7 linked regions of the Danio rerio genome follow. The protein of the gene in region 2 interacts with the protein of the main gene of each other region in a pairwise test. Links are inferred from orthologs where the notes say so. Each region holds a gene or a part of one and is shown on either strand. Other genes may lie near its edges.

The links.
Region 1: the proteins of lnx2a (region 2) and srsf11 interact in a two-hybrid assay, tested with the Homo sapiens proteins (3 studies listed by BioGRID and IntAct). The link is inferred for Danio rerio from reciprocal best matches to the Homo sapiens genes LNX2 and SRSF11.
Region 3: the proteins of lnx2a (region 2) and tubb5 interact in a two-hybrid assay, tested with the Homo sapiens proteins (3 studies listed by BioGRID and IntAct). The link is inferred for Danio rerio from reciprocal best matches to the Homo sapiens genes LNX2 and TUBB.
Region 4: the proteins of lnx2a (region 2) and phykpl interact in binary tests that used the Homo sapiens proteins (3 or more experiments, as listed by UniProt). The link is inferred for Danio rerio from reciprocal best matches to the Homo sapiens genes LNX2 and PHYKPL.
Region 5: the proteins of lnx2a (region 2) and map2k5 interact in binary tests that used the Homo sapiens proteins (3 or more experiments, as listed by UniProt). The link is inferred for Danio rerio from reciprocal best matches to the Homo sapiens genes LNX2 and MAP2K5.
Region 6: the proteins of lnx2a (region 2) and nmd3 interact in a two-hybrid assay, tested with the Homo sapiens proteins (3 studies listed by BioGRID and IntAct). The link is inferred for Danio rerio from reciprocal best matches to the Homo sapiens genes LNX2 and NMD3.
Region 7: the proteins of lnx2a (region 2) and si:rp71-19m20.1 interact in binary tests that used the Homo sapiens proteins (3 or more experiments, as listed by UniProt). The link is inferred for Danio rerio from reciprocal best matches to the Homo sapiens genes LNX2 and C10orf88.

Annotation. Positions count from the first base shown.
Region 1 is NC_133186.1:47,581,100-47,584,599, reverse strand, and holds part of srsf11 (serine/arginine-rich splicing factor 11), read right to left. Parts: exon of another isoform or gene 3,459-3,500; coding exon 3,325-3,458; intron 1,329-3,324; coding exon 1,219-1,328; intron 4-1,218; coding exon 1-3. UniProt on the Homo sapiens protein: May function in pre-mRNA splicing.
Region 2 is NC_133199.1:25,535,086-25,538,585, reverse strand, and holds part of lnx2a (ligand of Numb protein X 2a), read left to right. Parts: intron 1-124; coding exon 125-493; intron 494-2,489; coding exon 2,490-2,669; intron 2,670-3,001; coding exon 3,002-3,179; intron 3,180-3,447; coding exon of another isoform or gene 3,448-3,458; exon of another isoform or gene 3,459-3,500.
Region 3 is NC_133191.1:10,605,102-10,608,156, forward strand, and holds part of tubb5 (tubulin beta-5 chain), read left to right. Parts: intron 1-576; coding exon 577-685; intron 686-1,846; coding exon 1,847-1,957; intron 1,958-3,055. UniProt on the Homo sapiens protein: Tubulin is the major constituent of microtubules, a cylinder consisting of laterally associated linear protofilaments composed of alpha- and beta-tubulin heterodimers.
Region 4 is NC_133190.1:25,913,279-25,915,918, reverse strand, and holds part of phykpl (5-phosphohydroxy-L-lysine phospho-lyase), read right to left. Parts: intron 728-2,640; coding exon 645-727; intron 567-644; coding exon 341-566; intron 1-340.
Region 5 is NC_133182.1:34,126,989-34,130,996, forward strand, and holds the start of map2k5 (dual specificity mitogen-activated protein kinase kinase 5), read right to left. Parts: upstream 2,801-4,008; 5' UTR 2,578-2,800; coding exon 2,446-2,577; intron 2,317-2,445; exon of another isoform or gene 2,257-2,316; coding exon 2,208-2,256; intron 1,990-2,207; coding exon 1,922-1,989; intron 1-1,921. UniProt on the Homo sapiens protein: Acts as a scaffold for the formation of a ternary MAP3K2/MAP3K3-MAP3K5-MAPK7 signaling complex.
Region 6 is NC_133190.1:1,691,723-1,695,977, reverse strand, and holds the start of nmd3 (60S ribosomal export protein NMD3), read right to left. Parts: upstream 2,801-4,255; 5' UTR 2,695-2,800; intron 2,115-2,694; 5' UTR 2,113-2,114; coding exon 2,069-2,112; intron 1,073-2,068; coding exon 938-1,072; intron 1-937. UniProt on the Homo sapiens protein: Acts as an adapter for the XPO1/CRM1-mediated export of the 60S ribosomal subunit.
Region 7 is NC_133187.1:11,910,024-11,913,523, reverse strand, and holds part of si:rp71-19m20.1 (ATPase PAAT), read right to left. Parts: intron 2,411-3,500; coding exon 2,207-2,410; intron 1-2,206. UniProt on the Homo sapiens protein: ATPase that regulates mitochondrial ABC transporters ABCB7, ABCB8/MITOSUR and ABCB10. Regulates mitochondrial ferric concentration and heme biosynthesis and plays a role in the maintenance of mitochondrial homeostasis and cell survival.

The sequences.
Region 1 (3,500 bases), on a different chromosome or scaffold from region 2:
AATCTGACAAGACAAAGCACACGAGCATCACTACAGTGCAAGGAGGACCATAGACTGATTTCACGAGGCGGACATTTTAAACAGCGAAATCGAGGCTGCGGTGGAAGAAACCTGGAAGTATCGTCTGAGTCAGAGAGGAATTTTGTCTACCTGACTGTATATCTCATCAGCGAAGAGAAAGTGACACAAATTTACCATTTCACCACGTTCCAAGTGATCTGAAGATCCGTTCTGAATGAATAGTGAAAATAAAAAGGGATATCAAAGCTCATTTTCAGCTAAGTTAAGGGAAATGAAACTAGTTAGCTAACGTTTTCTTTTCCAAACGCACGTTTTAGATGCCTTTTATCAACCTTAAGTTAATGAACGGATTCTTTCACTATATAAGACAAAACTTCAGTACTGAAACGTAAAAAAATATTTTAAAAAGGCCATATCCCATTAACATTTAAGCACTGTTGATGGCGTTCTTAAACACTGCTGATTTGCCATGGTGTTCACGTGCTCAACAGAAATGACTGTGATTGGCCGTGAAGGTCATCAGTTCACTGATGTTTACCGAGTACAAACACAAACAAGCAATCTACTGATAAATCGACCGATCTTCACGGCTTGAAAACGCTCCAATGTCTATCTGTGTTAGCAATCGGTGAAGAGCGGTGAACTGATGACCTTCACAGCCAATCACAGTCATTCCAGTTGAGCACTGGTGAACACTATGGCAAATCAGCACAGTTTATGAACTCGGCGGCGCTTAAATGTTAGCGGAAATGGACCTTTTAAAACTTCAGTACCGGGACAACACTGCTACAGACAACACGAAGGTGTGTTACAGAGGACTGCATGGTTTTATTGCTCACCGGGTTACATAGACTGAAACAGGGAAGCGTCCCCATGGTGTTTACCTGCTGCCATGAACTGAAACCTAGGAGGACACTTACTCTTAAAGAGATTGTGATGTTGTTTGATGCCTAATCTGCTGTTAATTGTTTAGATTAAACTTACTGCATGATATTAAAGTGATGTTTACACCATTTCTGCATTTTGCAATTTATGGCAACAGCTGGAGGTTTGTAGTTCACAGCATGTTGCTGCAATGTTTACAGTGCTGATGCTATACTCCCGGGTTCCTTCCCACCGCTGCCTCGCTTTCGTGTTTTAAAATGGCGATCGCCTGAAATAAGCATATAGCCTCGGGTTACAGAGATTGACACTCACAGATGGGACGGGGTTGGGTGTGGGGAGGAGTCCGCCTCCTGGAAGCAATCCTGCAACGGCATTGGCCGGAGCAAGCAGAGACATAGCCTTGGACTCATCAGGAATCACTCCTGCAGAACAGAAACACACAGTTAAAGCACGCCGCGGCTCTCCACGCACACACAGACAGACCCACAAACTCAAACTTTCTTTTTTTTTGCAAGATAATGTGCACTGACATCAGTACTCACTTTGCCAGAGCAAGCTAACACATGAGGTCCCTTAACAATAGCATGAAGTGCACAATACTACAAGAAAAGAAATGACACTAGACACACTGCCAAGATGTTATCACCTGAACTTGATTTTTTAAGTCATGAACCAAATGTAAGCAAGCACAGCCGGATCTCCACTGGGATGTGCTCTCAAGTTTCATAAGTTGTATAATGAACAAGCGATTCAGGTCGGCTGCTTCGCTATAAAGCACACAGAGACATCAAGATAGACAAAACAGAGTTTATGATTTGGGTGTCAGCATTAAATGACAGTTCATTAAACCACTGATGCTGTGACTTACCAGAACTAACACAAAAATAAAGACATCAAGGGGCTTTTGCTGGTATTCCAGAGCTAAAGCTGCCTTTACCTTTGGTAAACTTTGACACAGATATACAACAGAAAGGACCTCTTCCAGCAAAAGCCCGTTTTAAACTTAACTACAGACTGTGTGTGTGTGTGTGTCAAAAAGTGCTGAAGAGAAAAATAACTAGAGTTAAATGACAAATGAACGTTTGGTGAGTGCATGGAGTCCATTGGGTGAACGCCTCTGAAATTAATACTTCACTCCAAAGACACAATCATCACTGACACACACACACACACACACACCAGAGAGAGAGAGAGAGAGAGAGCTGAGAGAGAGAGATAGAGAGAACATATGAGAGAGAAACAGGACAAGCTGCAGAAGACAAAACTGTTGGGTGGCATTTTCTGCTGGGCCTGGTTTACAGGACTTGCAGAACCAGGGAAAAGAACTGGAAAACACAACAACAAAAAACAGAAAACGACCGTTAAAAAGCTTCTCAGGCCTTTTCAGTCATGTGGAGAGGAACAAAAGAACATTCTCAGACTGTTTCTTACTCAAAAAGCTGAAAATACTGGAGGGAGATTGGACAAATCATCACATACGCGCAGGGAAAGCCCTGCGTTCAGCTATCATTACGCTCTTGCCAAGCGCTGCTTCTCCTCACATATACATGTGCAAAAGACTCATGCAGAAATGCGCTACATCTCATCTTACCGTGGATTATCTCGTGTCTGATTAGCATGCAGTTCAATCAGAGGATTTGAGGCTAAACATTAGTGCTTTGCAAGAAAAGACGGATCGATCTTTGTCTGTGAGCTCAATTGAATTGAATGGAGACACAAGAGAGGATTATAGTTTACAGCAGGGAAACACACGTGGGCCGCCGCTTTTATTTGTCTACAGGGCAGCAGAGGGTCACTCTCAGACATCTGCCGGCTCTGCAATTGCCTTGTTCACTATAAAAATCACACACACAGATGACAAAGAGAAAAGTTTAACAAAAAAAATGAAACTAAACTGGAAAGGCAATGAGTTAAACATGAGCTCGCCTGCCACGCAGGGCGTCTAATCCCCAACATTTCTCAAATATTCACCTGAGTGCATATACAGTCTTAGGGCTCATTCACACTGAACACGTCTTTGCTTTTAAACACACGCGCGGGGAAAAACTAAACTAAAGACGCAGCATTAAAACACAACTTTAAACAAACTTGCAGCAGCAGTCCCACTTCTCAACTCTTCTGATTGGTCCACTGCTTTGAAACTGACATTAACAAGCAGCGCTGCATCTACAATTTCAACTGCTTATAACTTGACAAAAAAAGAAGAGTAACGATCACACACATCCATCAAGTGCGCCTTTACATCGAAAACACAAAAAGCAGAGCACTTTAAAAGAAACGCGTTCTGTGTGAATGTCCCCATACTGCGTTCAGGTGTGTGTGACGGCCGCTGGAGTTCACTGCACTAAAGCCGTCATCAACACTGCGAAGGGATTGATTACGTGTAACATTTAAAAACAATAAAGGAGTGGCACAAACCTTCAGCAAAGGGGACGACGATCAGCGCTCGGTCCACGAAGACTGTGTTCGTCAGATGCTGCGATACTCCGACTGACTCCGGCTCGTGGAACTTTACAAAACATACACGTGAAGTCACAGGCAAGGGAGAATCACTGAAAGAAAATATAGAAGCTTTTGCAAGGTGTACACACACA
Region 2 (3,500 bases):
GGTGACCCTTGATTAATATAGGGACTAAACCAAAAAGAAAATAAATGAACAAAACTTCCGTTTAAGCATTCCACATAGATGAAACTCATTTACTCTTAGCCTAATGTTACTCTTCTGTGTGCAGGTGAACAATGTAGACATCAGTAACGTGCCCCATAACTTTGCTCGCTCTACACTGGCCCGTCCCTGTGCTACCCTTCAGCTGACGGTTTTAAGAGAGCGCCGCTGCTCTGCCAGGCCACCTGCAGCAACTGCATCACCCAAGGGCAGCCCTGCCAGCATACGCATCACCCTGCACAAGAGGGAATCATCAGAGCAGCTGGGCATCAAGCTTGTGCGGCGTACAGATGAAGCCGGCGTTTTTATTCTGGATCTGCTGGAGGGAGGCTTAGCTGCGAAAGATGGGCGACTCTGCAGCAACGACAGGGTGCTGGCTGTCAATGAGCATGACCTGAGACATGGCACGCCAGAGCTGGCAGCTCAGATTATACAGGTAAAGAGAAAAAGCATGTGTGTGGGGGAGAGGTCAGGTCAAAGAAACCTTTTTAACTAACTTCTTAATAGCCATTATTAAATGTGTATAGAGGTTTGTGTTTTTGAGGTCAAAAGAATACTAAAAGCTAAAGTGCTCTAAGTGAATTTAGACATTACAGATGTACACTCACCAGCCACTTTATAAAGTATACAGATTTCTTATCAGCCAATCACATGGCTCTAAAAAATGGTCTGAAAAAGAGAAAATATCCAGCGGCAGTTCTGTGGGCTCAAATGCCTTTATTGATGCCAGAGGTCAGAAGAGCATGGCCAGACTGGTTTCGAGCTGATAGAAAGGCAACGGTAACTCAAATAATCACTCGTTACAACTGAGGTCTGCAGAAGAGCATCTCTGAACACACAACACATCCAACATTGAAGCAGATGGACTAGAGCAGCAGAAGACAACACTGGGTGCCACTCTTGTCAGCTAAAAATGTAAACTGAGGCTACAATTCATACAGGCTCACCAAAATTGGACAATAGAAGATTGGAAAAACGTTGACTGGTCTGATGAGTCGATTTCTGCTGCGACATTTGGATGGTAGGGTTAGAATTTGGCATCGACACCATGAAAGCATGGATCCATCCTGCCTTGTATCAACAATTCAGGCTCGTTGTGGTGGTGTAATGGTGTGGGGGATATTTTCTTGGCACACTTTGGGCCCATTAGCACCATTTGACCATGGTGTCAACACCACAGCCTACCTGAGTATTGTTGCTGACCATGTCCATCCCTTTATGACCACAGTGTACCCATCTTCTGATGGCTACTTGCAGCAGGATAATGCGCCATGTCATAAAATGTGAATCATCTCAGACTGGTTTCTTAAACATGACAATGAATTCACTGTACTCAAATGGCCTCCACAGTCACCAGATTTCAATAGAATAAAGCACCTTTGGGATGCGGTGGAATGGGAGATTCGCATCATGGATGTGCAGCCGACAAATCTGCAGTACTGTGTGAGGCTATCATGTCAATATGGACCAAAATATTTCCAGTACCTTGTTGAATCTATGCCATGATGAATTAAGGCAGTTTTAAAGGCAAAAGGGGGTCCAACCCGGTACTAGTAATATGTACCTAATAAAGGGACCGGTGAGTTTATAATGTACCGTAAAAAATGGATATTCATTTTGCAATTGGTTAAATATTTGGATTTTTATATATCAAGTGAGCAGAGATTGTAGGAAAGGTAACCTAAAGTAATAAGTGTGTGTGTTTTTGATATGTGCGGGTGTGTATATGTGTATTTTCCTATAATATATATATATATATATATTTTTTTTTTTTTCCAGTTTTTGTTTTAGAAATTTATACACTTTTACAGATAATTTTTAAGGCTATGTTTCTAAATTCTGTTAGTGATTATTTATATTTTTTAATGAAAAATAATTTTTAACAATTTGAGATGGCAAAAATAGATAAAAATATATACTTTAAAAAATCAATAATATCAGCAATTTAACAGTAAGATTATCAATATATTCAAAATCTTAAACAAAAAACATCCATATATCTAAATTAAAGGCCATATCTACAGCCTGGAAAACCAATAAACGACCTAGCAACTCCCTAGCGATCACACAGCATCTTTTTTGGGCAACCACTTTACCCACCAATAGCATAACACATATTTTCTTTTTAAAATGATAAATATTTCCTTCTACTAAATATTCCTCTTATAAAACAGCTGGTGTCAAATCTCAGTGCCTGTTTAGGACATTAGGACACACTCTGCTGCCCTGCTCAGAGGGTAATGTGATTGATAGTATCTTTATGTCTACGTGAGCTGCTTTTTCCCCATCTGGCTGCCCCGATCACAGAGAAAGGGCAACTAAAGTGTTATTAAGAATAGCACTGGCAGATAGCAGACCGTCTTTGTTGGATGCAGTGCCACCTCTATAAGAGTATTAGGTATTTATACGACCGCCTACTGTCATCTTTATAGGCTAGCGGAGAAAGAGTCAATCTGCTGATTAGCCGGTCCAGCAAGCAGACTATGGCGGTGCACACAGGCTCCACCTTGACCAGGGACATTTGGAGCCATGATCACATCCCGCCACTTCCCAGTACTGCGACCCCAAGTCCCGTCCCCAGTCTGCACCTTGCCAGGTCTTCCACCCAGAGAGTGAGTACACACGCCTTGCGGCCAAGTCTGTTTGTGTTGCAGAATCTATTTTAGCATTGTGGAGACGTAATTAGGGAGCCCTATTTACGAAGCATCTGGGTAGCCTCCAGTTTTCCATGAGTTCAGACCACAACCTTAATTACTCCTTGTCGGATCTATTATGAGATCAATTCGGAAGTACAGCTGATCCCGTTGGGATGACGAACAGCACTCTACAGAGAGCCGATCAGAGTGTCAGTTTAGAAACGGGCTTCCTTTTTCTTTATCCATACCTTTGAGACACGTTTAGACTTGATGCTCTGATGCTTTTCTAATATGAGTGTGTGTTGCAGGATCTCTCCCAGTGTGTGAACTGTAAAGAGAAACACATCACTGTGAAGAAGGAGCCTCATGAGTCTCTGGGAATGACTGTGGCAGGAGGACGGGGCAGCAAAAGTGGGGAACTGCCCATATTTGTGACGAGCGTCCAGCCCCATGGCTGCCTGTCACGTGACGGACGAATCAAACGTGGTGAGTGACATTTATAGGCATCAAGCCTGTTTACCTTATTGAAGAGATCATGTTACAATTTCTTAATTTAAATAATTCCAATTAAAACCGCAAGATCTTGTTGAGTTGTTTTAGCTCTGTGTTGTTATGAAGAGTTTCAAACTTTGAAAAAAACAAGATCTAAAATACTGATACATATGCTACTGTTTATGTTCACAGACATGACCGAATAATGTGAACTTGTTTTTTTGTGTGTGTGTGTGTGTGTGTGATCTGACAAACTTAAAAGGAGGACTTTAAATATTATCTGACAGCCAGCTTTCAGTCACCTCATAAAACCCT
Region 3 (3,055 bases), on a different chromosome or scaffold from region 2:
TTGAATAATTGGCAAAAAAAATTATAAAATGATTAAAGTAATTACATTATTTTCTTTTTGTTATAAAGGTCAAATAACTGAAGGTGAATGATTTCATACAGCATGTGTCCGCTAGGTTTTTTTTATGATGATATTATGTGTTGACAGCAGAAATGTGGCTAACAGGTTCTGATAGGCAAGAGTGTCAGAACGGGGTCATGGTAGGCCTGTGTCCATCAGCGCATTCTAGTTTGTTGGCCTCATTCTTTCAAAACAATTATTTTCAATAAACATCCCATGCAAGAACAATCTTTTCTTTTTCCGTTCACTTGCTGATATCCGTCTATCTCGACCTCCATCTCTGCGCTTTTCTATCAGATTAGGGTCACATGGAGAGTAACCTAGAATTAATGATTTAAATGTCCATAAGGCCTCCTGCTGAGGTAAAACTCAGCTGAAACCAATTCCAGTTTACAGATTAACGATTGGTTTATACTGATGCTCAACATTCAGTGCCTAATAGGATAGATTTGATGCATACTTTTGTGTGTATGTGCAGTCGGGAAGATGTCTGTAATGTCTGTGTGTTGTTTGTAGTTTTGGGAGGTGATCAGCGATGAACATGGAATCGACCCAACCGGAACCTATCATGGAGACAGTGACCTCCAGCTGGACAGAATCAGTGTCTACTACAATGAGGCTACAGGTACTTTAAGACATTGGTATAAAGAAAGATGAAAGTATATTATTAGCATGAACAGTATTGATAATCAAAAGTTTTTTTTTTTTACTTTTTAATGATTGTTTAAAGGATTTGTTACCAATTCTTTATTAGTTATGTCATAACATAAAATGCATTATAATCTTTAAGTTTTAATCTTTAATCAAGCATTTCACTTGGAAGTTCATCCCAATAAAGGAGAAAATATATTTCTATTTCATAATTATTTTTAGAGAAATACATGGAAAGTTTTCAAATGGTTCTTAAAGCAAAAGGCTGAAAATCATGAATATGTGATACGAGATCAGTTCTATTTATTTTAATTGATTCATTTAAGTTTTTAAACTTTTCTGAATCAGATTTTTGCTAATTATGTAATATGACTTTAATCATTTTAACGTTAAGTACATAATAGACAATAGATATGCTATGTAAATGCATGTATTTTGCAATTTAATTATAGAAAGCAATTATTTAAATGATTCCGTTCAATAGCAATGTTAACTCCTTAAGTTGGATGGTCCATTTCTGATTTTTTTTTTTACTTCAGTCATACAGATATTATTACAAATAATACAAACATCATATTTGTTTCATCTTTATTAACATTTAATTACAGTAGTATAAAACATAATAAAAATATAACTTAAATAATATGTAAATAAATATTACATAATCTAATAATTACTAGAGTAGTTTAATAAAATGGGATTCAAACAAAGTAAATTGGTTTGTGAATCCATAAAATGTTTTATTAAATTAACATTTCCAAAGTTCCAAAGTTTTTGAACCATTTATAAAATGATGGTCTTTAAATAAGACGTTACATACAATAGATGTATTTTACATTTTAATATAATAATTTAATTAATAATAATTTAATTAATAATAATTTTAATATGAGCGTCCCTTGTAAATCTCCAGGCCTAAACCAGAGCTATTCACTAAATATGTTGAGGTTAAACTTGAGGTCAACTAGAGGTGACATCTAGAGGTCAATATTAGAATTAAACATTCTCAACCTACATCTTAAAGCCCTAAACCTGCATGCAGATACTACAATATCTCATTTCAAACATTTAGTTTCCTATATGTACTGAGCTGGTCTGTTTCTCTTTTTTTCTTGTTTCTCTATGTCTCGTGGAGGAGGTAAATATGTGCCAAGAGCCATTCTAGTGGATCTGGAGCCTGGTACCATGGACTCTGTGCGTTCAGGGCCCTTTGGACAGATCTTTAGACCTGACAACTTTGTATTTGGTGAGTGACTGATAACAAGTCTATCATCACACAAAAAATCTAATTGACAAAAATTATGGAACAGAATCATAGGGTTATCTTACCCAAAAACACAATTATTTTACTAATTATTCACCCTCATGTCATTCCAAGCCCCTGAGATCTTTGTTCATCTTTAGGACACAAGTTTTGATTTTAAATTATGGTGAAATCTGAGAGCTCATTCATCTTCCATAGACATCAATGTTCCTGGCTTGTTTAAAGTCAAGAAAGGGACCAAAACTTTCTCAAAACATACCATATGTCTTCAAAGCTTCAATCAGAATATTATAGAACTAAAAGAATACTTTTGTGCACATATAAAACAAAAACAAGGACTTTATTCCATGGCTTCTTCTGTTAAGTGTCAGTATATTGCACACATCTTTAAGTACTGTGTGGTGACGAATATCCCTCTGATGCCTGTGATTGGTTTCCTCTGTTTGAAACAAAGCACTGGTGCATCCGAGGTAATATGAATGTGACACCTGACACATGAATGTGCGCCCTGTATTGAATGATTTTTCTAACTTCTTCTGGAAGAGTCTGGAACATTGCTGTATATAGAGAATAAGGAAGCCCTCAGATTTAATCTAAAACATAATTATCATAGCCATATCTACCTGCAGCTCAAGACCGGTTACTCACTGAAGCTAAGCAAGGCTGGGCCTGGTCAGTACCTGGATGGGAGACCCAATGGGAAAACTAGGTTTCTGTTGGAAGTGGTGTTAGTGAGGCCAACAGGGTGTGGTCTGTGCGCTCAATCTGTGGTCTGTGTCCTAATGCCCCAGTATATTGAAGGGGACACCATAACGTTCAGTGAGCGCCGTCTTTTGGATGAGACGTTAAACTGAGGTCCTGACTCTTTCTGGCCATTAAAAATCCCATGGCACTTCTTGTAAAGAGTAGGGGTGTGACCACAGTGCCCTGGCCAAATTCCTTCCATCGACCCTTACCCAATCATCCCCATCCACCAAATTAGCTCTATCACTGTCTCTCCACTCCACCAATAGCTAGTGTTTGGTAAGCGCACTGGCGCCGTTGTCTTGTGGCTGCCACCCTGTCATCCAAGTGGATGCT
Region 4 (2,640 bases), on a different chromosome or scaffold from region 2:
TGTCCACAGCGACTTCCAATTGAGGAGGCATTTAGTAATACAAAAAGAAGAGGCAATACAAATGCTAATTTTACAAAAGAACTGTTTGTGCTCAGAGAACTAAGTGCTAGAGTACGGTGTGTGTTTTATTAGAGAGAAAAGAGTGTGCTTTGTCAAGCCCACTTACCTGTGTGAGCCACACTTAAAATTGCATAAAGTTTTGAGGTTATCGTGTGGATAAATGACAAGGCTTTAGAAAGTGACTTATATGTGTGAAATATGAAAGTGATATATCGTGCAGCTCTCTAACATACATTATCACAGAATTAGTTCCAAGCATATCGGTGTTCTAAGCACTCACTGTGTTGAAGTACTCCACTCCATTGGCTGTAAAAGCACCAGCGATCTCCTCTGTAGTGACCACGCATGCAATGGGATGACCGTTGCCCATCGGTTTGCCCATGGTCACAATGTCAGGGCAGAAATCTTCACCCTCAAGCTGAAACGCCCAGAAATGACTCCCAACACGACCAAAGCCTGTCTGAATCTCATCTGCCACATAAACCCCTCCTGCTTCATGAACATATCTGAGGGTAAAGCAGCTTCATTTACTGGTTTCCTGATAAAGTATAAAGATACTTATCAAATTGTAGAAAAACACTTACTCTGCTACTCTTTTACAATATCCAGTGGGGAAAATGATTTGACCTCCAACGCTGGGTAAAGACTCAGCAAAAAAAGATGAAATCTGTTGATAAAATTAATCATTTATATAATAGGTTATCCAATAATGTACATTGTCATCATTTGCTTTTTCCCAAACTTGAAATACAATAAACATCAGTGGGGTCCAAATCAGCATTTTAATCCAATTTAGATACCAGTTTTTAGTTCCTTAGACACCAAACCCTGTCCTGTTAACCAAACTCTCAATGATCAACATCCATTTTTGTAATAAATCACTCTTTTTTTAAAAACTAAACAAGTTCAGGCAGTTAGACATGATTTGCAAATCGTATACACTCTTAATGCAAAAATGTATATACATTTCTACAGATTAAAATTAAAATAGTTTTAAACGTTGATGCTATTGTCTTTTGTTACACAACGGTAAACACGGGCAGCAAAAGTTTACACAAATAGAACACAATTGTCATTTACACACAACACAAACTTTCACTTTTTTCTGAAGATGTGATCAAACCGGCTGTTAGGAGTTATGTTGCATTTACTATACTTTTTTTTTTGCAATTGCAAGTTCAGGCTTTAGCCAGCCTGGTAAAAGGGGTGGTTCTTTATTCTCAAAAAAGTGGACCTTTTTGCAGTTATACGCCTCATTTTCTATTTTTCACTTTTTTTTAGCTGAATTAGCTTGTCGGATGGTCATCATAACCACTCTTTTTGATGTACCGAAAATATTTCCTAAAGATTTAGAATAAAGAAAATTGACACGTATATTTTTTAAAATACAAATTTATTACATCATAATATCAACAGAAAACATTTTTAAATTAAAAACTGTAGCCTATTGTAATTTATTAGGCAAATAACAAACCGGTCAGCACTTTCAACTTTCCATTCAAGAATTTGGCCATTTAAACAAAAAATATTTTCAAACAACAACAACAACAATAATAACAATAATAAAAACAGTAATAATAATAATAATTTAGAGCTTCACAATTTTCCTAGCCTCTTTTCATGGATAACAACAATAGCCAAAATAGTATTGGAATAAATCTTAATATGGGCTGCTTTTGGTGCTACACACTTTTTTTATTCGTCATGTTTTCTTTCAAGAATAAGGTTTAGAAAAAAATATACTTGTAAAATATTTTCTCTATTTAAAAACAATACAGTAGCGAAAGATGACTTTGCTTACGTCATATATTAGGACTCTTGAAAAATAACTATTCCAAAACGGAATAACTGAAGTCACACCAGGATTACGTTCGATCTTAAAGCCTTTTGATGGGTTATTTTTACTATTTATGATGGCATAGCAGTCAAAATAGGACGAATGAGCTCATGAATGCGACAAATTCTGGAACTTTGTCACTGAGCGGTGGGTCTTTCGAACCTCACAAATCTTCCCTGGCTACAGGCCTGTAGTTTAAACATTTTTCTATAACTACTGTACAGTACATATTCTGGAATTTCTCCAAGTGTCTAATGAATGATCTGTAGGGTTTTTTTTGTACAGGTTTTTTTTTTTTAATCTATAGTATTTTGTTCATTTTAATTTGAAAGTTTTTGTAATTTTGTACATAATTTGGTAAATAAATGTTATTTTATATTTTATTATTTTTATTAAATTTAATTAAAATGAGATGTATTTTTTTGGTGAAAATTCTAGCTGAAATAAAATCTGATAATTTTTTTTATTGTTTCATTTAACTTCAGTTAAATCTAATAACCATGGACACCACTGACTTTTATTATTCATTCATTCATTTTCTTTTCGGCTTAGTCCCTTTATTAATCTGGGGTTGCAACAGCGGAATGAACCGACAATTTATCCAGCATATGTTTTAAGCAGCGGATGCCCTTCCAGCTGCAACCCATCACTGGGAAACACCCATACACACTCATTTACACACATACAGTGCGGACAATTTAGCCTACCCAATTCACCTATACTGCATGTCTTTGGACTGTGGG
Region 5 (4,008 bases), on a different chromosome or scaffold from region 2:
TTTTGCTTTGTTTAACATTGCACGCAATATAAACAAGTGTTGTTGTAATCTTTTGGTATTGATAATAACCATGAAGTGTAATAAATAAATAAATAAATACAGACAATGATATAACAGACGTGATAAAACTGTAAATAATCCAGCACCAATAACTATCTGCTTGACACTCCAACATAGTAGGTGGGGGCATTGCAATTTAAAGGGATAGTTCATCCAAAAATGAAAATTCTTTCCATAATGTACCATCACTTATACACCTTTGATTTGTTCCCGAAACAGTTTACAGAGTATTTTTGTTTTTTATTGTTCTGTTGAACACAAAAGAAGACACATTGCAAAATGTTGGAAACCTGTATCCACTGACTTCCATAGTAAGAAGAAGAAATTGCTATGGAGGTCAATGGTTTTCAGTTTCCACTGAATCTTCAATAATTCCTCATTTGTGTTTAACTAAAGACTATAGACCTTTTTCTTCATTGCTGCATGGAGGGCACCATAGTGACCAGCGCCTTCCGGTAGTGTGTTTACTGTTTTCAGTGGCTTCAAAGTGTTTTTTTTTATGCAAAACATTAATTTAGAAAGAAAGATGTGTGTTAAAGTCGCTGTACTTCTGTAAGATGAGGTTCAAGTGCAAGAGAAAAACAGATGCTGAAATATAGCGTCAGTGTATGCCGCGGCTCTTCAATGCACACACTCACAATCAATACCTCACTGCATTTTAAAGAGCAAACCATATTACTGGCATGAAACTGGCAGGTATGGAAGGGATGCAATTTCCAAAAATTACCAATAAAAGTATGCTACTGATACTTTTCTGGCTGATTTGTATGTTGATTCTAATCTGGAGCAGTTATAATTTCATTTCATTTAGTTTGTGTTGTGTAGTATTTACCACAGTATGTGTTTTTCAGTCATTTCAACACGCCACTTTGTGTTCACTTTGTGACACTTATTCAATCAATGTGTTAGTGGGACAGTACAGCAGGCTACGTGTGTGCGTGTCAAACATTTTGGAAAATTACGTTTATTTAAGTTATTCATTTATTTGAAAGAAAGAGTTTCCCCATTCAGACAGAATGCCCGAGCATACTGCCAGAGAGGCGTTTCCCAGATGGTCGCCGAGATGGTCAGTAGTAGCTACTTTGTAGTTGCCTGTCGCTCTGGGTGGCGACATGCTGCAAACAGGTCTATGCAGGTCTACAGCACAGAGAATACAATCAAGCTGAGATAGGATCACATGAGCTCTAATGGTGCACCTATTGGCTGTCGCTCAAGAAAGTTGAAGGATTCTCAACTTTGTTGCATCGCTCATGCACACCTGGTCACCAACGTTCACTGTCACTCGCATAGACAGAGGTCACTGGAAGTAGCTTGCACTCCGTTAAAATGAACGGTCGTTTGTCGCTTTGCTGTTGCAAGTCATTCATAATGTAAACGAGGCTTTTAAGGGACTTCAACATAACAAAAAAAACGCAAATAAGTTAAAGGCGAGTAAACGATGGCATAATTTTTATGGATGCTGCTATATTATCGATATCCTAAATGATTTCGTAGTAAAACATATATTTTGTGACAAGTTTGACTTGACATAATAAAATTTGCATTAAAAAAAAAGGTGCAAATGTATGAATGAATGTCTGCACAATTTCTTGTTGACAATAACAATATCCAAAACAACTGACTTATTCATCATAAAAGTTAAAATATATTTGATTTATTAAGAAACTACTATAATTACAAATATATGAATATTTTACAAGTGCATTAACTTCCTTATTTGTGAAGTTAAGTTTACAATTCTAAGCAAAGTTTTTTAATAGTCGGTAGTCTGCTTTTTAAAACTGCTTTAGAAGTCAAACCACATAACAGATCAATTAAAAGTCTCAACAAAGAGTCTGACAGAAATTTCAGACATACTCACATAGGACAGCATGGCTTTGAGCTCGTCATCACTGCGAACTGTGATTCGGTCACCAACTTCATCCTCATCTGAAATAAAAGCGAACTCCATTATTTACAAGCTAATTTCCACAAGCATTTTTATCCTGCACTGTATATTTACTCATTTGCATGAACAACTCTTTAGTTCAGGACAACAGTATTGCAAAGAAATGAAGTTATGTTTTCCTATTTCTTTTTACTCTATTAGCTATACTGATTGCATTTAAACTTGAGTAACATAAGTAAAATACAGCAGCAATACTTACACTCAAATGCTGTGACTGTGGCTTCAGGCATGGCATCTCTGATCGCGGCCTGTCAAAAAAGGGAATCTCAGCAATCACACATTTGACTGACAGCTGTCAATCAGCACCACTATTCGAAAACACATAGCAAAAAGCACATTTTAATAAATGGCATGCTCCACAAATGGTTTCCCTCTTTAAAAAGTCATAAGATATGAGATGAAAACTGGCTGTGAGTTAAATTAAAGCAGCTGCTCACCAGCAAATCATTGAAGTTGAGATGTGATGGACTGTCCACTGGCGAGTCCATGTCCCCCACCGGCGTCTTTATCCGGATGACGATTCCCTCAGATTCCATATTGCTCAGGTTACTCAAAACAAGTAAAAGCATAACAAAAACACACCGACAAACATAATCTTGGCTTTTAGACCGGATTTTCAGACCAACAGCAGCTGGAGAGCTGGCTAGGAGGCTAACAGTTTAACGTAGCATGAGCGCATTTAAAACACGACTGACGCAGCGAACATTCCGTCTAATAAACTCGCGACATGTCATTCCAGATGTGCTAAAGACTTTCTGTCTGCCTGTTAACTGTGTTAGATTTTATCAGTAGTTATCAAACTGTCAACAATGAAAGTAAAACAGAGGAAGTTACGCGGAAGTATATCGACGTTTACCCGGAAGCTGAACCTCTACTAGAGGCGCATAAAAGCCTCAGAAAGCAATCTTGCGAGTTGTGATAAATATTTTGGAGCTGTTATGTTGCTCTCCTGAAACTATAAATCATTTGTTTTGGGGTTGTTCTGTTACTCAAGCTTTCTGGGATAATATTAATGTGCTTATTTCCCAAACGCGTTTTGTAATCTTTACTAATTTTTAGATTTTGTTAACGATTTTTTGTTAACTTTAACATCACATTCAAACAAGAACTGAAATATAATTAAACATAATTTAATTGTTTAGATAGAAAGCAATAAACGTATGTTTTTATTACTTATTATATACAGAAAAGGTATATTTATATTATTTCTTAATGTGCTTTATCATAATTTAAAGGATTAGTTCACCAAAAAGCTAAATTTACTCACTATTTGCTCGTCCTCGATGGATTCCAAATCTTTATGAGTTTCTTTCTTTTATTGAACACAAAATATGTTGAAGAAAGCCTGTAATCATTACCTTCCATAATAGGAAATATATACTATGCAAGTCAATGGTTACAGGTTTCTAACATTTTTTTTTAAATATCTTCTTGTTCTTCCTCAATTGTAAGTTACTTTGGACAAAAGCATCAGCTAAATATCTCAATTTAAAATTTAAATAAACTTATGATGAAACTCAGATTAATTTTTTTAAATATTATATTATTCTTTTTTTTTTCAACTATTGGGGTGCGGCCGGGTAAGGGGCCCTACAAGACAATGTGCCCAGGGAACTCTGAATTCTTAATCCAGGCCTGGATCCAAGACCTGTGAATAAATTATGCCAAGCTATCCATAATCCTGGACCAGGCCGTATTCTGAGCTGATTCTGTGGTGGTCATGGAGGAGCGGAGAGAATGAGACTGATTCCTGAAAGACCCCAGTGACAGACAAGTTGATCCAGTGGGCCAACTTGAACACTGCCAGTGACCTACTCACACCTGCAGCTTCTCCGTGATGGAAATCCAGAATTCTTAAGCCTCCAGCGCCTAGACTACAGCTCTGCACAAGAAGTTTGACCAGAGGAGAAATGGTCATGCCCACCTGAGCCTGGTTTCTCTTGAGGTTTTTTCCTTTACTTTCGTCAATTGGTGAAGTTTTGTTCCTTGTTTGGGACTAG
Region 6 (4,255 bases), on a different chromosome or scaffold from region 2:
ATATATATTCTTATTATATCCTATATATATATATCGTAATATTTAAATTCTTTTTTTATGTAAAGATATTTGCGTATTGCTCTACATCGTGTGTGTATTAAGCAGTGTGTAAGCTAGGCGCGCTCTGCGCCAGACAATAGACCGGCTTTGTTCTGGTCTAAAAAACAGACTTATAGTTTCTCAAAATAGCAACGCGCCAAAACACGCCTGCTTTTTTTAGACCAGAACGCCTATGGGCGCACATATAAGTGCAAATGCATTTGCTATTTAAACAGCGTGGTGCAACACCTCAAAACGACTCTTGCGCCAAGCTGAAAGTAGCAAATAACAATTGCATTGCACCACATTGCGCCGGGTGTATGATAGGGCCCTACGTGTACCGGAAGGAACCGGGTGTTTTAAACAGCTCATATTTTCTGTTGTACTGTTCTTACGGTATATGTAATTTTGTGTGTGTGTGTGTGTGTGTGTGTGTGTGTTTTTCATGACTATTTAATTTGTTTTTTTAGGGCAACATTATCTCCAGCAGCAGAAAAAGCTATCATTTAAAAAACAAGTCACTTATAAACCAACATCCAGCATGCTGTAGAGCTGAGCAGTACAGTGACTTTACTGTATATCCAAAAATAAAAGATATGCCAAGTTGCCTTTTAAGGTTGCAAAGAAATCTGTGTTTTTGATACTAATGAAGACAGCAAAAGGCAATGATTTATTCTAATTATTTAGCCTGACATGTTCACTGCTCCAAAATATTAGAAATACTTAAAAACAAATAGAATCTGTTTAACAGGCAAACGTTTTTTTCTTATCCAGACATGTGAAAAGAACAGATTTTAGAGCAGTAATCACAATACCGTGAAACCGTGATCATTTTATCCAAGGTTATTGTATCGTCAGAATCGTACACCGGCCCATGGCTAACAGAAACAGAGCGTACCGTTCACACTGCCTGCAGAAATGGATGGTCACTTGTTTGGGGATGCCCTCAGAGATGTCCACCTGAGTCCTCAAGCAGGAGACACACATGTTGGCTGGGTTTGGAGGAATGGGAACGCCACACGTACAGCAAAGACTGAAAAAAGCATACAGATAAACAGAAATACAGTAAGACAATGAGGGAGAGAGAATTTCGAGATTAATGCGGTTTCAGCTTCTTTAGCTATGTCATGGCAAAAACAAAAACAGATCAAGTTTACCACATTTTATAAATACCACTATATTTATAACAATAAAATAAACACAATTTCTATAGTTATAACAATATCATAACAATTTAAATTCAGCAATAAATAATACACAAGCTAAAATATATAAATAATAATAATGACAATATGTACAGTTGAATTCAGAATTATTAGCCCCCTGAATTATTCGCCCCCGTTTATTTTTTTCCCAATTTCTGTGTAGCTGAGATTATTGCCTCGTGCTGCAGGATTTAGGAGGTTTGCTGAAGGTGCAGCTGTCGTGCAGTGAGGGGTTTGTGTCTTTAATAATCTACGATGGTTTGTGTTTATTGAACATTAATAATGATTAATAAATCAATATGAAACAGTCCCTTAAAAGTCACGTCTCGTCTTCAGTTACGGGCTCAGGCGCGCTTAGCCCAAGTGAACTGCCCAAGTGAACCGCTAGGGCCGGCCAACTGAAATGTGCCTGAGCCCAATTCAGCGCACACGCACTTCTCAAATGATCCGGGAAACGGGCCTGGGCACAGTCCAGATAGCAAAGTGTGAGTGTGTATGAGTGTTTCCCAGTACTGGGTTGCAGCTGGAAGGGCATGCGCTGTTTAAAACATATGCTAGAATAGTTAACGGTTCATTCTGCTGTGGCGGCCCCTGATAAATCAGAGACTACACCGAAGGAAAATGAATGACTGAAAAATGCCTTACATTAAAAAAAAAGCAATATGTAGGAGCCAAATCTCAACTGATGCTGTTGATTAATAATTCAAGTTTATTTTTGGTTCGGCAGAAATAAAAGAAACTCATAAACATCTGCGACCACTTGAGGGAGAGTAAATACTAATATTAATATAACAACACAGTACTTATAAAAGTTGAATACTCACATATTGCCGTGGCTGCTGGATGGCGGAGCCTGCATGTACTCCATGACTACAACAGCAACAACACAGACCCCAAACATCATTAATCACACTCATAATATATTGAGTTTGTTTTATATTCGCACATTTGTTTCCTTTTAACGCTCCCTACATTGTTTATCAGGATAAACTTATAATATTGGGTCTGAAATCGCATGTAAGCGCTTCAAAACAACATTAGCATTATTTACTGACTGTCAACAGTGTTGTCCTTTAATAGTCATTCGCTGCTGATTTTCCTATTTATTAGAATTTGCAAGTATGCTTTTCTGAAATTAACGCTATATTATTAGAAAGAACGTCTAAGAGTGCGAATATAAAACCAACTTCACTCCATATTCATGACATTAACAATATAAAGCATAATCAGTCTAACAGAACTGGTCACCACTGTCATAAACTTAAAATAATGTATCCACTGACAGATAAACACATACACCATTGCTAACTTACAGATCACTCTTTGTATGTATGTATGGGTGTAATTACGTGTGAAGTATGGTTGTGAGAAGACTATAACGCTCTCGATATCTTCGCCAGTATTGTTATTACTATACTATTATACACACAAACACTGGATCGATACTCACTGTGTTGTTAAATCAGCGTTGATCGACTCAACTAAATGAACATCTCCTCGCGAAAATCACACGAACTCCGCACGTGTGTGTGTGCGCCTGTTGATGACGTCACGACACGTTGTCAAAAAAGACCCTTGCAGCTGACCGTCTTCCGTTTCGTTTTTCTTATATTTTTCTTTTGTTTTTTATATCATCTTTGCAGTTTTTGTTTTGTCTGTTTTTTCTGTATTTGTTATTTGTGAATTCTTTAAAACAATATAAATAAACAAATAACAACACCCGATAGCTGTCCGAACTGCGCCTGAATGTAAATGAGAAAAAACAAACAAACAAATGGTTATTCTCCGAGGGAACTGAGTGAAAATCTTTCTAATTTTAAACCCCAGTAAAGCATGAGCAAGGATAATAGTCTGGTTTTGACAAGATGGCTCGGTAAATACAGGGTAATTAGGTTCAAATGGGTGATTTAAAGCTGCAGACAAAACCCAAAAACATAATGTTGCATAATCTTTGAGATTTATAAGTGGTGATACTTTGAGAAATAAAACATGACAGCAGCAGTTTTTTATTATTCAAACTGAAATACATTATAAATCTAAAAAGAGTTAGCCTAGTAGGCCTATTGCAGAAATATACCTAGTTATACCTAGTACTAATATACCTAGCACTTTTATATACATAGACATGGTTAAAAAAAACATATATATATATATATATATATATATATATATATATATATATATATATATATATATATATATATATATATATATATATACACACACACACACACACACAATATCACACAAGTAGTAGTGTAATGTGGCTGTGAATCAGCACTGGTGGGAGGCATGCGTTGGTTTGAGGCGTCACGGTGGTGCAGTGGGTAGCATGTTCGCCTCACAGCAAGAAGGTCGCTGGGTCAGTTGGCATTTCTGTGTGGAGTTTGCATGTTCTCCCTGTGTTTGCGTGGGTTTCTCTGCCCGGGTGTCCCCCACAGTCCAAACACATGGGCTATAGAGGAATTGATTAACTAAATTGTACGTAGTGTATGTGTGAATGCAAGAGTATATGGGTGTTTCCCAGTGTTTGGTTGCGGCTGGAAGGGCATCTGCTGTGTAAAACATATGCTGGATAAGTTGGTGGTTCATTCTGCTGTGGCCACCCCTGATTAATAAAGGGACTAAGCTGAAAAGAAAATGAATTTATATATATATAAAATCATATATAAATAACTGCATATTAATAATTATAAACATTCTATTATCTATGTTTCCTTAATTTGACAGCACAGCCGACATGCATAGTGTTTTGAGAAAATTAATTAAAGTCAGCATGAAATGGAGGAATGTCTTCTTTTCCGCTATTGTGACACTTCTGAAGGTGAATGGTCCATTTTGAGGATGTTGTTTGGTGTTTTTCTGGACATTTCTGTAATGTTGCTGGCTATGCCTATGCTATCCAAGAGGATCTGCACACTGGTGGTGGTGTGGAGAGACCCCCCTCATGATTGTGAAAGTGCTTTGGGTGTATGACCATACACATTAAATGCGCTATAGAAATACACATT
Region 7 (3,500 bases), on a different chromosome or scaffold from region 2:
TAAAAGAAAACCCAAAAAACAAATTCATTTTGTGAGGTGGAATATAATTAATTACATTTTCTTGTTTGACAAAAACTAAAAATAACAAAAACTAGTCTGAATTAATAGCCCACTTTATTTTTTATTTTTTCATTTTCAAATATTTTCCAAATGATGTTTAACAGAGAAAGGAAATTTTCAAAGTAGGCCTGATAATATTTTTTCTTCTGGAGAAAGTCTTATTTGTTTTATTTCGGCTGGAATAAAAGCAGTTTTCAATTTTTTAAACACCATTTTAAGGTCAAAATTATTAGCCCTTTTAAGCTAGTTTTTTTTTCTATTGTCTACAGAACAAACCATCCTTATACAGTAACTTGCCTAATTACCCTAACTTGCCTGGTTAACCTAATTAACCAAGTTAAGCGTTTAAGTGTCACTTTAAGCTGAATACTAGTGCCTTGAAAAATATCTAGTCAAATATTATTTACTGTCATCATGGCAAATTTATAAAATAAATCAGTTATTAGAAATAAGTTAGTTTTAGTTAAAACTTTATTGTCCGTTCTGCTTGACACAGAAAGGAAATTTTTCTTCAACACTGGATTTAGGACAACAATTACAAACATACAACTACGATACAATCACACTTATCAAGACATCAACATAAGTTAAAAGTTTAAAAACCAAATTAGCCCCATGCACAATACTGCAAATCATTCTTGGTAACCACCTCATCCACTACAAACATTGATCCGGTTTAGAACAACAACTGCCATTGGGATAAATGACTTTTTATAGGCATTTCTTCGTGCTTTATTAATTCTAAACCTGCGTCCTGATGGTAGAAATTCAAATGCTAAGTAAAGGGGATGTGTATTATCTTAAAAATCACAACTGCTCTTTTTTCCATAAAAGAGTCAAATAAAATCTGCAATGAATTATTAAAACTATTGTTTAGAAATGTGTTGAAAAAATCTGCTCTCCGTTAAGCAAAAATTGGGGAAAATATAAACAGGGGGGGCTCATAATTCTGACTTCAACTGTAGATATTTGCATTATAAAAACGGCAAATTCAAAGTAATTACAGCTTCGGAGAAGAATTAAAAGACTACTTGAAAAATCATTGGATTTGTTAGATATGAGTTTAAGTAAAATTTTAATATGTTGCACTCAACAACAGTCTGATAAATTTAACTGATGAAAATGTTGAGCAGAAAAGGACAACTGGTAATAATTGATTTAGTGTAATAAAAAATTAGGGTTATTCCAGCAAAAATTGATTTCTTTACTTTTTCTTAACGTCTAAATGTTGAAGTTGTGCTTAAAAATAGACAAACACTAAATGACAACTTTTTTATTTTAAATTTGCAAGAAAAGTCTGAAGTTGCTTAATTACAAAAAAAAAATCTGAAATTATTAAAAGTAAAAATGTACATGCTGTCTTTTTTCATTAGCTGTGTATGTGTGTATTTGTTTGCTATTTAACTAAATTAGCTTACTATTTAAAAAATGTATTATTTCAAATTGCATGCAAATAAGAGCGAAAAGTTCATGAAATCTGAGATCTGTATATTATGTTACATCAGAAGTGTATTTCTATGTGTATTACACTTTGAGAAAAAAAAATTGGTAGTTGTTAAACATAGCCTATATCAATAAGAGCATGATATAATAATAATAATAATAATAATAATAATAATAATAATAATAATAATAATAATAATTTAACAACTTAACTGTCGCCCCCACTTTTTGCACATATGAAAATGACGTTCAACTTAAATGTCTTCAATGCCTTGGTCAATAGATTTAAGCTTGGTCTTATTTTAAAGAAGACAGAAGGCAGAAGTTGAAATGTCGATTAAAATAAAAGTTATGTGCCTTCATTGTTTATGAATACATTACATACAATATGTATTTTATGTTTTGAAAAATGGCAGAAAATCTAATTATCTGAACCACTCATATTTCAAATTAGAAGCTTTTAGTAAGATTTTATTTGGCTTGGCTGCAAGATCAATTATCAGGACCAGATGACATCCAGTTTCCATTGGTGACCATATTGACCTTATATATATTTTTTAATCTATTACTCTTCCTACATAACAAAAAAGTGATGAAATATGTATTTAAAAGTCTTAGACCTTCCACTGATATATAGTTTGTCATGACATGATTAGGATTTAATTGAGTAAGTTTAGTAAAGTAAACTTAAGCATTCGCATACATATACCCATTAGTGTGTGATATTTGAACTTCCTCTCCACGGCAGGTGCCGCAGTATTCTCCAGACAGCGAGTACACTTCAATAGTGCGGGCTTCACTGACCACCTGAAGACTGCTGATCGCAGACGCAGAGCCGGGTGAACACTGAAGTGTGACGACACACGGTGAGTCCTCTTCTGCTCTCTCCAGACAGACAGCTTCATTCCTAGGAGAAATGCATGTGCAAATACAGTCACAAAAACACTTCATGGGAAGAGTCATGGCCTAATGTTTAAAGAGTTGGACTTGTGAAGGTCACAGGCTCGAGTCCTGGCACCGGCAGAGATGGTAGGTGGTAAGAGTGAATAACCAGTGCTCTCACCACTTATAATACCATGGCTAAGAGGAGTCCCTTGAGCAAGGCACAGAACCCCCAACTGCTCTAGGTGTGTGTTCATGGTGTGTCTGTTCACTGCACTTGGATGAGTTAAAGGCTGAGCACAAATTCCAAGTATAATGAGTCACCATACTTGGCCACATGTCACAACTTTCCTTCATATTCCAATTATTTATTTACCTACTTATTTACTTGTTTGCTTCTCCTGGTGTTAAATGTTGTTTTATATTTTTTCTAAAGGTGTCTAAAGGGATAGTTCAAAAACAGGTGAAAATTCTGCCATTATTTCCTCACCATCCACATCCAAACCTGCTCAAGTTTCTTTTTTTCTGTTAAACAGAGATGCAGATATTTTAAAGAATGTGAGCTACTTCAGATGTTAAAAGAATAGTTCACACAAAAATGAAAATTCACTTACCCTCAAGAGGTTTCAATCCTTTATGATGTTCTTTATTCTGCTGAACACAAAAGAAGATATTTTTAAGATTTTTGACTATGAAAGTCAACGCTTACAGGTTTTTAGCTTTCTTCAAAATATATTCTTTTGTGTTCAACAGAGGAAAAAAACTTGTGAATGTTTGGAACTGCCTTGAGGGTGAGTCAATAGTGAGTACATTTGATTTTTGGGTGAACTATCACTTTAATACAGGCGTGTCCAAACTACGGCCCGCGGGCCATCTGTGGCCCGCAATCAGTTTTGTGGCGGCCCGCGAGGCTTTTTATAAATATCAATAGAATCTGGCCCGCTATACAAAAATGAACGCAATTCAATAAATAACCACCGGGTGTCGCTATTACATGCATTCAATTAAGCAGCAGTTCTTGTTATGATCTATCTATCTATCTATCTATCTATCTATCTATCTATCTATCTATCTATCTATCTATCTATCTATCTATCTATCTATCTATTTATCTA